Regions from separate parts of the Mus musculus genome. Here all the other regions are reported to be linked to region 2. Evidence: microRNA targets listed by miRTarBase, many of them from high-throughput screens and not tested one by one. Region 2 holds a microRNA gene; each other region holds the end of a gene's coding sequence.
Evidence for each region. The annotated mature microRNA mmu-miR-362-5p reads AAUCCUUGGAACCUAGGUGUGAAU and lies in region 2 at 2,223-2,246, shown strand. An mRNA with a match to its seed (bases 2 to 7 or 8) in the 3' UTR can be bound and repressed. Matches are read on the target gene's strand: a 7mer-m8 pairs with bases 2 to 8, a 7mer-A1 pairs with bases 2 to 7 and ends in A, and an 8mer does both.

Region 1 (3,083 bases), not on the chromosome of region 2:
CTTAGAAATGGGAACAAAATACCCATGGAAGGAGTTACAGAGACAAAATTTGGAGCTGTGAGGAAAGGATGGACCACCTAGTGATTGCCATATGCAGGGATCCATCCCATAATCAGCTTCCAAATGCTCACACCATTGCACACACTAGCAAGATTTTGCTGAAAGGACCCAGATATAGCTCTCTCTTGTGAGACTATGCCGGGGCCTAGCAAACACAGAAGTGGATGATCACAGTCAGCTATTGGATGGGTCACACGGCCCCCAATGGAGGAGCTAGAGAAATTACCCAAGGAGCTAAAGGGAACTGCAACCCTATAGGTGGAACAACAATATGAACTAACCAGTACCCGAGAGCTCTTGTCTTTAGCTGCATATGTATCAAAAGATGGCCTAGTCGGCTATCACTGCAAAGAGAGGCCCATTGGACTTGCAAACTTTATATGCCTCAGTACAGGGGAACGGCAGGGCCAAAAAGGGGTAGTAAAAAAATAAAAAAAAAATAAATAAATAAAAAAATAAAAAATAAATAAAACAAAATGCAGAGATAGCAACACACAAAAAATATACATAAAGAAAAAGTCATATAAAAATTAATATATGGAGGCTTGATAATCAATTTTCAGAGGTATGGGTCTCAGTGATGGGGCGAAAGGTAGAGCAGAATTCAATTAAGTAATATTTCTTTCACTTTCTAGAAAAAGAAATATATGTATTAGGTAAGGTAAAAAGCAAATCTAATGCCAGGCATGGTGGTGCCTTTGATGCTGGAACTCAGGAAGCAGAAGCATGTGGACCTCTGTGAGTTCAAGGCCAGTCTGTCTGTAGAATGGGTTCCTTGACAGCTAGGACTGCTCAGAGAGACCCTGTCTCCACACTCCCTCCCCACAAAAGAAAGAGACAGAGACGGTAACAACGTGGTAGAAGTAGAAGCCTGCTGACCTAATGACCAATGGTTGTTAGAATCAACCTTTGAGGTGTTTCTCACGCACCATTCCCAAATAAGAGGACACACACATTCGTCTCCATCAACTTGCAATTTTTATTGTGTCATTTAACACATTTTTTAAAAAATATCATGGCACTCTTAGAAAGTTGTCTATTCAGGCTTTGAAGTTTAAGACATTCTTAGAAGCCCCTTGCGTTAAAGTAACAGACCGGAATGATAAGCAAGTGCGCCTGAAGACATATCAATATCAGCAAGATGATTTCTCAAATGTGTGCTCTAACATACGTACTCTCCTGGGCCTTGTACCATCTAAGACGGGTTCTTCTTACCAACACTGGCAGAGGATGCTTTCAGCCACGTGGCCATCCACTAAAGCAGTCCTACCTAGAGGGTGTACTATGGAGGAAAAGCTTATCTCCCCTTCACAACATGTGCAAGCTAACTGTGGTTATGCTTGAGGAGTGAGTTCCAGTGCCAACCATCACCTAAGACGTGTATAAATTCCTCTAATTAGTGCCAGAAAGACGATACGTTTCACTGTGCAGACGCCAGCTGTCCAGTCTGGCTTCAGGGTGCCTAGGTTTTCAGATATCTGATACCAAGGCAAGGAAGCTTCTGGAGTGATGCCCCCTGGCAACTGTCTGTATTGTGGCTACTTCTGAGGAAGCATCCCTGATGAATGCAAGCTACTGCATTCACTCTGCCACACAAACCCTGCTAGCCACTCAGATCTGAGCCTTTCCCATCATTTCCCCAGCACAGATAAGGCTAAAGCAGTAGCCCTTTGTGAAGAGAACTAACCTATGCAGAATACCACTGTAGTGTAAAAAAGTAACTCAGTGTTTACAATCTTTGCTGAGCAGAATGGAGAGGCTAAAGGGGAGATATCTTGGAATATCATCTCTTTAAATACTGCTGTCACTATGATTCAGGACTCATGATCAATTGCCCATGGTTCTTTTTTTGCTCAAGAGATGTATAAGTAAACATTGGTGATCAATACAGAAAAACAGTCTTCAGAATACAAAGGTATAGCACACCATAGGTAGACGGTTGGTTGTCTTTAAAGGCAACATTTAGTGGGATGTCAGCACCAGCAGAGCATATGCCTTGTCCTTTCTTCTACTTACTTTTCACAGGGACATTCCTGTTCGCTTTTTCGAGTATCTATTTAGCTATAAGAAGTGTGGAGGGAAGGAGGACTTTCTAAGAAAGCAAGCATAACTGGCATCTCTCAAAACAGAGGAAGGTAAAAGATACATAGTCATCAAAAAAGTATTCTACCAAATCACAAATGCACATGAAAATTCACCTTCAGGGCTAAGTCGAGGTTTAATACATATAGCATAAAAGATGAGCATATATCCACTGTGAGCAACAATGATAAAGACAACCTTCTTAGCACTCATGAAGCAAGACCACAATAAAATGTTTTCCTTTTTTTTTTTTTTTTTCCCACGGAACTGATATATCACGATGGAGAGAACAATGTCTATGGCTGCACAAATCCAGAAATACTAGAAGAAAACTAGCCGAAACTTCTTGCTAAATGTGTAATGTAACTATTGATTACTGACATCCTTCCGTTTAAATCCTATGTGTTGAAAATGCAATCTTGGCAGCCTGGGACAAATGTTCAGTGGATGCTTCAAGTTGAAATCTGCTGCATTGGCATGAGGTTTGGTGAAACCTGATGGGAGAAAGATGAAAACAAAATAATTATAAAGTTTACTCTACCATAGAATGTTCAAGTACTGCTTCAATTTGTTTTTAATAATTTCATTTTAAATTAAGAAATAAAAACTAAAAGATATGTTAAATTTCAAAAGTAATCCACAGATACAACATAAGGAATCCTATTTTAGATTACCTAATTGTGCATCAGGGAAGAAATAAGTAAATAATCAATTTAACTTAATATACACTGCAAAAGACACTTCAGAGATCATGGACTTGAAGCAGTAGAAAATCACTCCCCGTTCCCTAGTTTGGCCCTCCAAGCACACAAGGACTAATGCAAGGATAGACAAATTGAAAGGTTCAGGGCAGGTTAAGCCAATCAACATTCCTTCATGGTTAAGAGAGGGACTCATGAAACTTCACATCTAGCTGAAAAGAGCTACTGGCAATTGATGGC
Region 2 (3,083 bases):
AGGCCACACCACACCTTCTAATCCTTCCCAAAACAGCTTTACCTACTAGGGACCAAGCACTCCAGTATATGAACCTGTGAGGGCAATTTTTATTAAACCACCATGGGAGTGTATAGTTAAACTAATAAGGATTACTAGGTGATGAAATGTTATGTGACTACTATTGTATATGTAGTTTGTGGCTTACCAAACACCATGTAGTATGTGACTATAGTTCTGATTGTATGATAGTGTGCTGATATGTGGAGCCAGTGGTAAGTTGGGCAGTCCAGTCTTTGTAGCATGTGCATACAGGAGGATGAAAATCATTCTCACTGTGTACGATCACATATACATGCCTGAGAAGCTGCAGGATGCACTTCCTTACTTTAGCCTCCACTTTCTAAGTGTCAAACCTGATTCATCACGTTCTCAGCACACATAGGCAACCTTCAAATGCAGAGGCCCACTGACAGCTTAGCAGGAACAGAGTCCTGCTCCCCTAACCTTGTTCTCTTACACCTCTAAGGAAGGGTAGTGGGCTCTCTTGGTTTTCATCTTTGACGGAGCTGTTATAGGAAGGTATACTTGTTTGTTAACACTGACATTTTTGTAAACACATACCTAGACAGTCATAGATATGCTTTTGCATCAGCTGGGTAGATAGGAGAACAAATATGAATGAAGCCCATCTATAGCTAGGTGTACATCATATATAGGCCCGTGAGCATAGAAGGTTTCTTTTGTTTGATACACTTGTTTTCTCATAGAGAAAAATGCCTTACTGTCATTCATTTATATTCGCTCTCCCCCCTTCTCTACTTCTCCCCTCTCTCCTTACTCCTGACTCTCTTCACTCTCTGTGACATATAGTAGGAAAGTGAAAGATTGAAACTTGTGATTTTGTCTTTCATATCCCTCACAGAAAGGGGTGTGAACTTCGTTGATTTAGGCACATTGAAGAAGAATTACCAGAGAGCCAGTCCTTGCATTGCCTTTTACAGATTCTCCGAGTCACTGATATTCATGCCTCCTTCACCTGGCTTTTGCATATATGAGTATGACCATACTATTGTAAACAGGACATTCATTTAGACACATGTGTACAAAAATGGTAGTGTAAGAGGTAAAAATAATAGCCAGGGGCCAGGTCCTGCATCCTACTCTAGGCTTGCATCTTACCTAATTTTTTTGGTACTCTTTAAAGAGATAGCATTTGTTATTCTCATTTTTTAGAAGTAGTCCATGACCTTGGAGAAAGCAGGTAGATTCTTTAATCCAGTACATGGTGAAGTATAGGTTTGAAACAGGGTTTGTAGATACCAAACTCCACAGTTTCTCTGTCTTATCCATGATGCTGGTAAGGTCCCCAGCATCACCCAGCCCCTTTTAGAAATACAAAATCTTGAGCTCACTAATGAGAAACCTCTGTAAGTTATCTTAGTACCAAGTCCTCCAGGTATCTGAAGTAACTTTAACAAGATGCTGATGTGTGTTAAAGGATGCCAATCTCTACTGCCATCTTGTGAGCTTATGGCCTCTTCTCTCTGTCTCTCTGTCTTTTTTTCTTTCAGTATTTTGTATCTCTGGCTTTATATTTTTATAATCTCAGAACAAAATATGAATGTATATATTTAGACAGGTTTCTCTGTCTCTGTCTGTCTGTCTGTCTGTCTGTCTCTCTGTCTCTGTCTCTCTTTGTCTCTGTGTCTGTCTGTCACTCTGTCTCTCTCTCTCTCTCTCTCTCTCTCTCTCTTTCTGTGTATGTGTGTGGAGGGTGCAGAGGTCAACCTGAGGTGCTTCCCCTTTGGGGACATCTACCCTGTTTTTTGAAACAGTCTCTAATAGGGACTTGGCACTCACCAGTTAGGCCAAGGGATCTAGCTTTCTTTGAGTCCTCACGCTTGGCTCTTTTATGTGGAGGCTGGGAGTTGAACTCAGGTGCCTAGACATACTTAATGTGAAGCTCAAGAACATTGTCTTCTTTCTCATCACAGATAAGCACCTTGTGTCAAAGGTGAGCCCATGCGTTCATTTGCTGTGAGCCTTTTGCCCTGCTTCAGTTCTCTGATCCTTGCTACCTGGGTGAGAGTGTTCTTCAGCAAGGATTCTGAGAGCCAGACCTTTGTGTTTGTAAAGGACAGAGCGCATCTCTCGTTCTCTTTTAGTGTGTTGCACACAAGCATATTGACCACACACAGGAAGGGCAGGTTCCTGAGCCTTCTTGCTTGCTCCCCCTCTCGAATCCTTGGAACCTAGGTGTGAATGCTGCTTCAGTGCAACACACCTGTTCAAGGATTCAAAGAGGCTGAGCCTTGTCTGCGTGTAGAATGGCCCATACTTGCACATCTCACCTGCCACCTTCCCTCCTCCTGGCCACCATTTGATTTTGGTTTTAGCTGTCAGACTTGGTTCTACACATTTTCTAACAGCAAAATGGTCTTTATCATGTTTGGTAGACATGCTTCTATTCTCAGCATGAGCTTTCTTGATTCCCAGTTTGCTAAGTGTCAGATCATGTGATGAGGAGCACACATTAGGTGCTGCTACTCAGGCAACCCGTTTGTTACATCCAGTGATAACCCCTGTTCCACAAAGCTTGAATTGTATAAAGGCATTGGAAAGGAATGGAGTATCCTCCTCCACTGTGCCCTCTTTCAGTATGTATATGCATTCTCAGATCCCAGCCTTCTTGCTACCTTCCAAACATAAATCAGGCCCCCACAAATTCTCAAGTATGATCTGGGAGAGATACCATTTTGTATACGTAGAAGTTTTCTCTGAGAGAGGATGCTCATGGTGGGAAGGGGGCAGATACATATATAAATCAGGGATGTCAAGCTTGGGTATAGGTGGTGATGCTTGGCTGAATCAGGACAAGGAAAATTAAATATTATATACAGAACCACACAAACATGGTACAGGTGCCTGGGCCTTCTGCTCTGCTCATCCTCTCTAATCCTTTGTCCCTGGGTGAAAATGCTATTTGTATGCAATGCACCCGGGCAAGGATTTGGGGAAGGTGAGCCTGATCTGCATGGAGAAGGACAGGAGGTCTGTGCATCATATCTCATCTGTTTGCTGCTTGCATACTTCTTTTATGC
Region 3 (3,083 bases), not on the chromosome of region 2:
TGGTGTTTTCTACCAAGAAAGAACTGCCGTCCCTGCTGGTTATCGTGACCGTGAGTGTTTTTCTCCTGGTGCTGGCCACCGTGCCCCTGCTGGGTGCCGCCTGCTGCCATCTGCTGGCCAAACATCCGGGCAAACCCTACCGTTTAATCCTGAGGCCACAGGCCCCGGACCCTATGGAGAAACGCATCGCGGCCGATTTCGATCCGCGTGCTTCCTACCTTGAGTCTGAGAAAAGCTACCCTGCTCGTGGCGAGGCGGGAGGTGAGGAGCCAGAGGAGGTCCCGGAGGAAGGCCTGGATGAAGATGTGGAGCAGGGGGACCCAAGCGGGGACCTTCAGAGAGAGGAAAGCCTGGCGGGTTGCTCATTGGTGGAGTCTCAGTCCAAGGCCAACCAAGAGGAGTTCGAGGCTGGCTCGGAGTACAGCGATCGGCTGCCCCTGGGAGCGGAAGCAGTCAACATCGCCCAGGAAATAAACGGCAACTACAGGCAGACAGCGGGCTGAGCCCCCAGCACGCCTGGCCTGCCCACCTCCACCTTGGGTACCTCGTAGCCTAGGGACGGCAGGACTTTAACACCCTCGCGGGACTCCGCCCTACCCCCCAAGCCTTCAGTTACTCTGCCTCCTTAGCCCTCCCCAGGGGTCACTACTAGGGATTTCTAGGAGTGGGCCGAATTCAGGGGTCATTCTTTTGGTGGGCTTGAATCCCCATCCCCACCCAAAGCACAGAGTCAGGCTCCTACCTCCTCTAAGACACCACCCATGGGCGGCGAGAAACCGTCTATGCCTTCCATTTCATCACGGCGATCCACGAAACCCATCGCGCACCCCATCTGGTGGAACTTGGAGACAAGGGGAGAGCGCCACGCCAGTCGTTGACCACATTTGGTGATAATAATAGGGTTGGTCCAGCGTTTGCCTGGGATCCCCAGGACAGGTCCCCAGCGTGGAGCGCTGTGACTCTCACTTTGATCCCACTCTGCCTTTTCAAGGATGCATGTGCCAGAAGCCCGCTAATTTTTATTCTCACCGCTCCTTTCCTATAATGATCCAAATCCGCGCGTCCCCCCTCCCCATTCCTACCCCACCCCATTTCTGTCTAGTTGGAGCCAAACTGGGGTCCTGGTAGGCCTTTCAACTCAGCGCACTGATTTTCTTATTTTCGTTGTTTTAAAAAGCAGCGACATTTCTGGGTCTGGTGCTAATACCCCCTTCCCACCTTCTGGGAAATTGGGTGTGAGTGTGTCAGGTGTGAGTGTCGGAATCTCTTTGCTTCCGGCTCTCTCCTAATTTCAAGCGCTCCGGAACTGCGCGCCCTTTTCCTCGCAGGGTGCGGCCTTGGTTCCCGGGCCAGTTTCGTCGTCAATGTCTTGCAGATGCCAGAGGCTGGTGCGTGCCACAGTGACTCTTGCTACTCCATGGGGTTCAGACCCCAGCAGGAACGTGCTGGTGGGTACAGGGAGCTGTGACTCCCGGGCGCATCTCACGAATGGGCCTGCCTCAGGCCTGACCGAGGCAGCAGGGGGGTTGCGAAGCCCGGGAGGGACACCCTAGTTCCCCACGTCTCCCCTCACCCCAGGAATATAGAGTTTGCTCAGCGTGTAGTCCCCGCCGAGCGTGGGCTATAGACTTCTGTGTCCGTAAAGTGTGCCGGTGTAGTGTAGCGGAGCTGGGGGTGGGGGATGGGGAGCGGGTGGGCAGGTGGACGAGGAAGGAGGGAGGGAGAGGGCGGGAGTGGCGAGGGGACTCGGGTGGGGTTTTAGTTCTTTTAGGAAAAGGTCAGGGGGTGGGGTTTCAGGCGTCTGGACCAAGGCTCTGGCTCTGGCTCTGGGCGAAGTGCAGCACAAACGTGGGTGACCCGGGGAGGAGTTGACCCCGGAGCCCATGTCCTTTTCTAAATGCTTCTGTATGTAAACTGTCAATAAAATAATCGATTTGAACAGGACTCGGTGAGATTTTTGGGGTCGGGTGGGAAGTCAGGGGACAACAAAGGAAGGAAGCTGAGGGTTGAAGGCGGAAACCACCACAGAAGGAGCTTTTGGGATTCCTTGGGCATTTGCCTGGTGATCAAGTGAGTTTTCCGGGTGTTTGCCCTAGCCCCTGATCCGGGGTTTCTCAGCTCCTGCCTGGAGCTGAAACAGCTTGGGGTGGAAGGAGGCTGTCAGAGAACAAGAAGGGCTCTCAGGGAATGAGCGGCTGCCAGCACTGGTCCACTGTTCTCTTTGGGTTGAGACTGTTGGAGTACTGGGCTTTCTCTGTCTCTGTCTCTCTGTCTCTGTCTCTGTGTCTCTGTCTGTCTGTCTGTCTGTCTGTCTGTCTGTCTCTCTCTCTGTGTTCTGTTTCTCAGCACCACCTTTTGAGTTCTCTGGGAAGATGTGGGGGATGGGCAAGGGGCAGCTTGGGGAGGAGAGTTCCTAGAGGTAGGACTGCTGTGGTTTGCAGAGAGAAGTCACACCACACATTTCAGAACAGGCAGGTGACTACAGAAAGTGAAAGGTTGCCTAAAGCTCACTCCACTGGACAAGGTGAAGTCAGTGTGTGTGTGTGATGTGTGAGTGTGGGTATGTGTCAGAGTATGTGTGAGTGTGTGTGTGTGTGTGTGAGAGTGTGGCAAGTGTGTGTGTGAGAGTATGAGTGTGTGTGGCAAGTGTGTGTATGAGAGAGTGTGATGAGTGTGTGTGGCAAGTGTGTGTGTGAGAGAGTGTGATGAGTGTGTGGCAAGTGTGTGTGTGTGATGAGTGTGTGTGTATGTGTGTGTGTGTGAGAGAGAGTGTGATGAGTGTGTGTGTGTGTGTGTGTGTGTGTGTGTGTGTGTGTGTGTGTGTGTGTGTATGTGTTTCCAGGGTGGTTAGGAGTGTTCCATCAGTGATGGTAATGTATGGGCAGCTGTCAGGGGCTGCTGAGCTGATATAACACAGAATCAGGTCTGAAATCACACTGACTTATTGTTCTACAAATGGAGACTGGGAGACAAGGGGTGGGGATCAAGACTGGATGTTGCACTCCCGACCAGCCAAACTGCTGAGGCTGAGCTTCCTGTGGGTTTCATCAGTGCCTGGAAAGGGCAAGATGTGATTGGAAAAG
Region 4 (3,083 bases), not on the chromosome of region 2:
AAATTAGCATTTTAAAATCTGGCACCAAAGAATGTGATATAAGAGTAACTTCTGGTAAAATTATTCCTGGGTTTGAGGAAGTTGTGTGCTGCAAGTAAGCTTCCCCCTTGATAATGTAGTTGCAAAGCATATCTGAAGAAATTCTATAATTTATGTTTATTCACCTAGACCCAGCCCTAACACATGGCTTTACGGGAAAAAAAAAAAAAAAGAACTACAAAAGAAAAATAGGAAACTTAGTGAGGCAAGAACGTGTTTTTTTCCATTTCCCTGGGTGCTCAGGATGGTGCCTGTGGCAGAGACTTCCTGTTCCCCATCTGATCATTTTGTTTTTCTGACTACATAAGGGTTCCTGTGACACACAGTGAAGAGATAGTCTCTCAGAAGGGCAAAACTTTTCTATATAATTTTCTTTTCTGTTCCAGAAAATTACTTTGCGGGTGGAAGCCAATTTACATGGATTAACCCTCTATGACACTGTTCCTTGCCCTGTTAACAATGAAAGAACACCACTGCTTTCCAGAGATTTTCAGTAACTGGATATAAGTCTTCTGTGATGATTGTGATTCTCAGGGACTGGGAAAAGATGCACAAAAGTTGCTTATTATACTGTGAAAATTTGAATCAATTAATCAAGGCTGACAGTGACACTAATGAAACATGATATCAGGAAAAATGTAATAAGCCATCTGGTAAGTTTTCTTAAAGGATGTTGTTAAGAAGTCCATCTAAAAACATGTCTAGACTTTTTTATATCCAGAAAATAAAACCAAAGGATAATATCATTGTAGTGTTTGCTACTTTATCAATGAAAGCCTGAAGTACACCGAGTAGTCTCTATACTTGGCCTTAAACATATTATTTTAAAAGTATCTTTTGTTAGGAGTACTTTTATGAGAGACATTTTCCATGGCACACCGTAATCAGCATTGGTAACCAAATCATTTGGAATCACGGCTTAAAACTGAAGTTTTATTATATTAATACATTTCTTACAGTACTTAAAAATGTGTTGCTGTTGTTGTTGTTGTTATTGTTGTTGTTGAATCTTTTCTGTAAATAGGAGCCTGCCTGAAATAATCTGAGTTCTTTGATGGCTTAAATTTTGCCTCTCTGCACCCCCAAACAAACACAAAATCAATGGGTATTTATTCTGGCCACATGAATATTAACAGATCTATCATATATGCTTATAATAATTTCATCAAGTCTGGTCTCTGAGATTAGAATTTTTAATTACCAGTAAAAGAGAGAGATTATTTGCAAATTTGCTACCATTTTGTTCTTTATAAAATAAAGGTTACAGCTGATGACATTGTTCAGTAGTGTAAATTACTTGCTGCTAACCCTGACTATCTGAGTTCAATATGTAGGATCCACATAGTCAAAAGAAAGAAAAGTTATCCTTTGGCCTTGACCTCCATATGCAAATACACATACACAATAACTAAATGTGATAATAGAAATAAACATTAATGTTCCTAAATAAGGTTGCAAAGTCTGTAAACAAAAGGATATGATTATTAACATAAAAATTACATTATAGTTATAATCTTTGATTTTTCATTTAGAGAAATTTATACTTAGTAGTAAGATTAGTTTTGATCATATATTTAGTCTTTTTATTGGAATGTGATCCTTTTGAAACCTAAATCTGAAGAAGAGACTGAAATCCAAAATAAAATTCTGAATCTTTTTCTCTTGTCATGAAAATGATTGTAAAGTTTCAATTTAGATCTCTGTGTAGATAAAGGATGGTTATACAGGATGGTTTCTAAATGCCTACTAGGATTAAAAAGAAGGAACTGTCCGGGCGTTGGTAGTGCACGCCTTTAATCCCAGCACTTGGGAGGCAGAGGCAAGCGGATTTCTGAGTTCGAGGCCAACCTGGTCTACAGAATGAGTTCCAGGACAGCCAGGGCTATACAGAGAAACCCTGTCTCAAAAAACAAACAAAAAAAAAAAAAAAGAAGAAGAAGAAGAAGGAAGTGTTGACCTAAATAATATCCAGGGTCAAATTAGTTTGTAAAGTAATCCTTGATGAATACTAACATAATTTATATTTTTAGAAGAAATAGGGCTGAAACCAGAAGAAAAGATGGTAAGGAAAAGTTTAAAATATATCAAGAAGGAATTTAAGGAAAACTGTTTAAATGATGGAGATGTAGACTTCAGTTATAAGTTGTTGAATCTCAAATTCCTTAACAGTATTTGAAGAAATAACTTAGATTAATAGAGAAATATAGAGAAATAGAGTATTTACCTATGGGAAGCTACAGTCACAAGGGAGACATTTTAGTAAAGATTGATTGATTGATTGATTGATGTTGTTACTAGAAAAAAATTGCTTATAGATCATGATTAAGTCCTTTAAAAAAAGCATGATGTAACCACATAGGGAAAATATCTTTTTCTGTAGTTTTCTCTCTACCAATAAGTTAAGTTATGAAGCATCCATGGTATTATGAGAAGTAAATAATACTGAGTAATAATTCATAGAGTAGAAATTCTTGAAAGTAAATCCCTTGCCAGGTCTGCCAAAGACAGCTATGGAATAACAGGTGAAAATGTTTGTTTGTTTGTTTGTTTGTTTGTTTGTTTTTTAATTTTCAGAGTTCATTGGAGAATTCTTACAAGTATTTAGGTTACATGTAAAACTAAACCATAAATAGACACTTTAAAAAAGAAAACACACAGTCAACTGTGGTCTAAAAATATTAAATGAATATTACTAGAACTCCACAATTGGTAAGTTTTAATTGAGTCTTGTAATGAAATCTTGTATCATGTCACCTGGTCCATGAATCATCCCTTTGTCCCTAAGACATGTTATGTATTCTACCTTTAATGGCGTCCCACTTGTCAAATACAGTGCTTGTGATTGAGAAACTTAGAAAATTGGACATAGTACTACCGGAGGATCCAGCAATACCTCTCCTGAGCATATATCCAGAACATGTCCCAACCGGTAAGAAGGACACATGCTCCACTATGTTCATAGCAGCCTTATTTATAATAGCCAGAAGCTGGAAAGAACCCAGATGCCCCTCAACAGAGGAATGGATACAGAAAATGTGGTACAT

Region 1: miRTarBase lists Oxct1 as a target of mmu-miR-362-5p. The part of its 3' UTR that is shown has no 7-base or 8-base seed match.
Region 3: miRTarBase lists Islr2 as a target of mmu-miR-362-5p. Seed matches in the 3' UTR shown: 7mer-m8 at 988-994.
Region 4: the mRNA of Dram2 is a reported target of mmu-miR-362-5p. Seed matches in the 3' UTR shown: 7mer-A1 at 773-779 and 7mer-A1 at 1,511-1,517.

What each region holds. Positions count from the first base shown.
Region 1 is chr15:4,153,281-4,156,363 of GRCm38, reverse strand. It overlaps Oxct1 (3-oxoacid CoA transferase 1), which reads right to left. Exons shown (of 17, transcript NM_024188.6): 17 at 1,020-2,636. The coding sequence ends at 2,595. Among named protein-coding and RNA genes, the nearest start is that of BC037032, 130 kb to the right of the region's middle.
Region 2 is chrX:7,241,182-7,244,264 of GRCm38, reverse strand. Mir362 (microRNA 362) reads left to right here and starts at 2,219; the gene lies at 2,219-2,283. All of the region lies in intron 2 of Clcn5 (chloride channel, voltage-sensitive 5), which reads left to right. It overlaps Mir501 (microRNA 501), which reads left to right and starts at 2,914; the gene lies at 2,914-3,022.
Region 3 is chr9:58,195,158-58,198,240 of GRCm38, reverse strand. Islr2 (immunoglobulin superfamily containing leucine-rich repeat 2) reads left to right here. Exons shown (of 3, transcript NM_177193.5): 3 at 1-1,944. The coding sequence ends at 503. Among named protein-coding and RNA genes, the nearest start is that of Islr2, 5.6 kb to the left of the region's middle.
Region 4 is chr3:106,573,150-106,576,232 of GRCm38, forward strand. Dram2 (DNA-damage regulated autophagy modulator 2) reads left to right here. Exons shown (of 9, transcript NM_026013.3): 9 at 426-2,192. The coding sequence ends at 536. Among named protein-coding and RNA genes, the nearest start is that of Cept1, 27 kb to the left of the region's middle.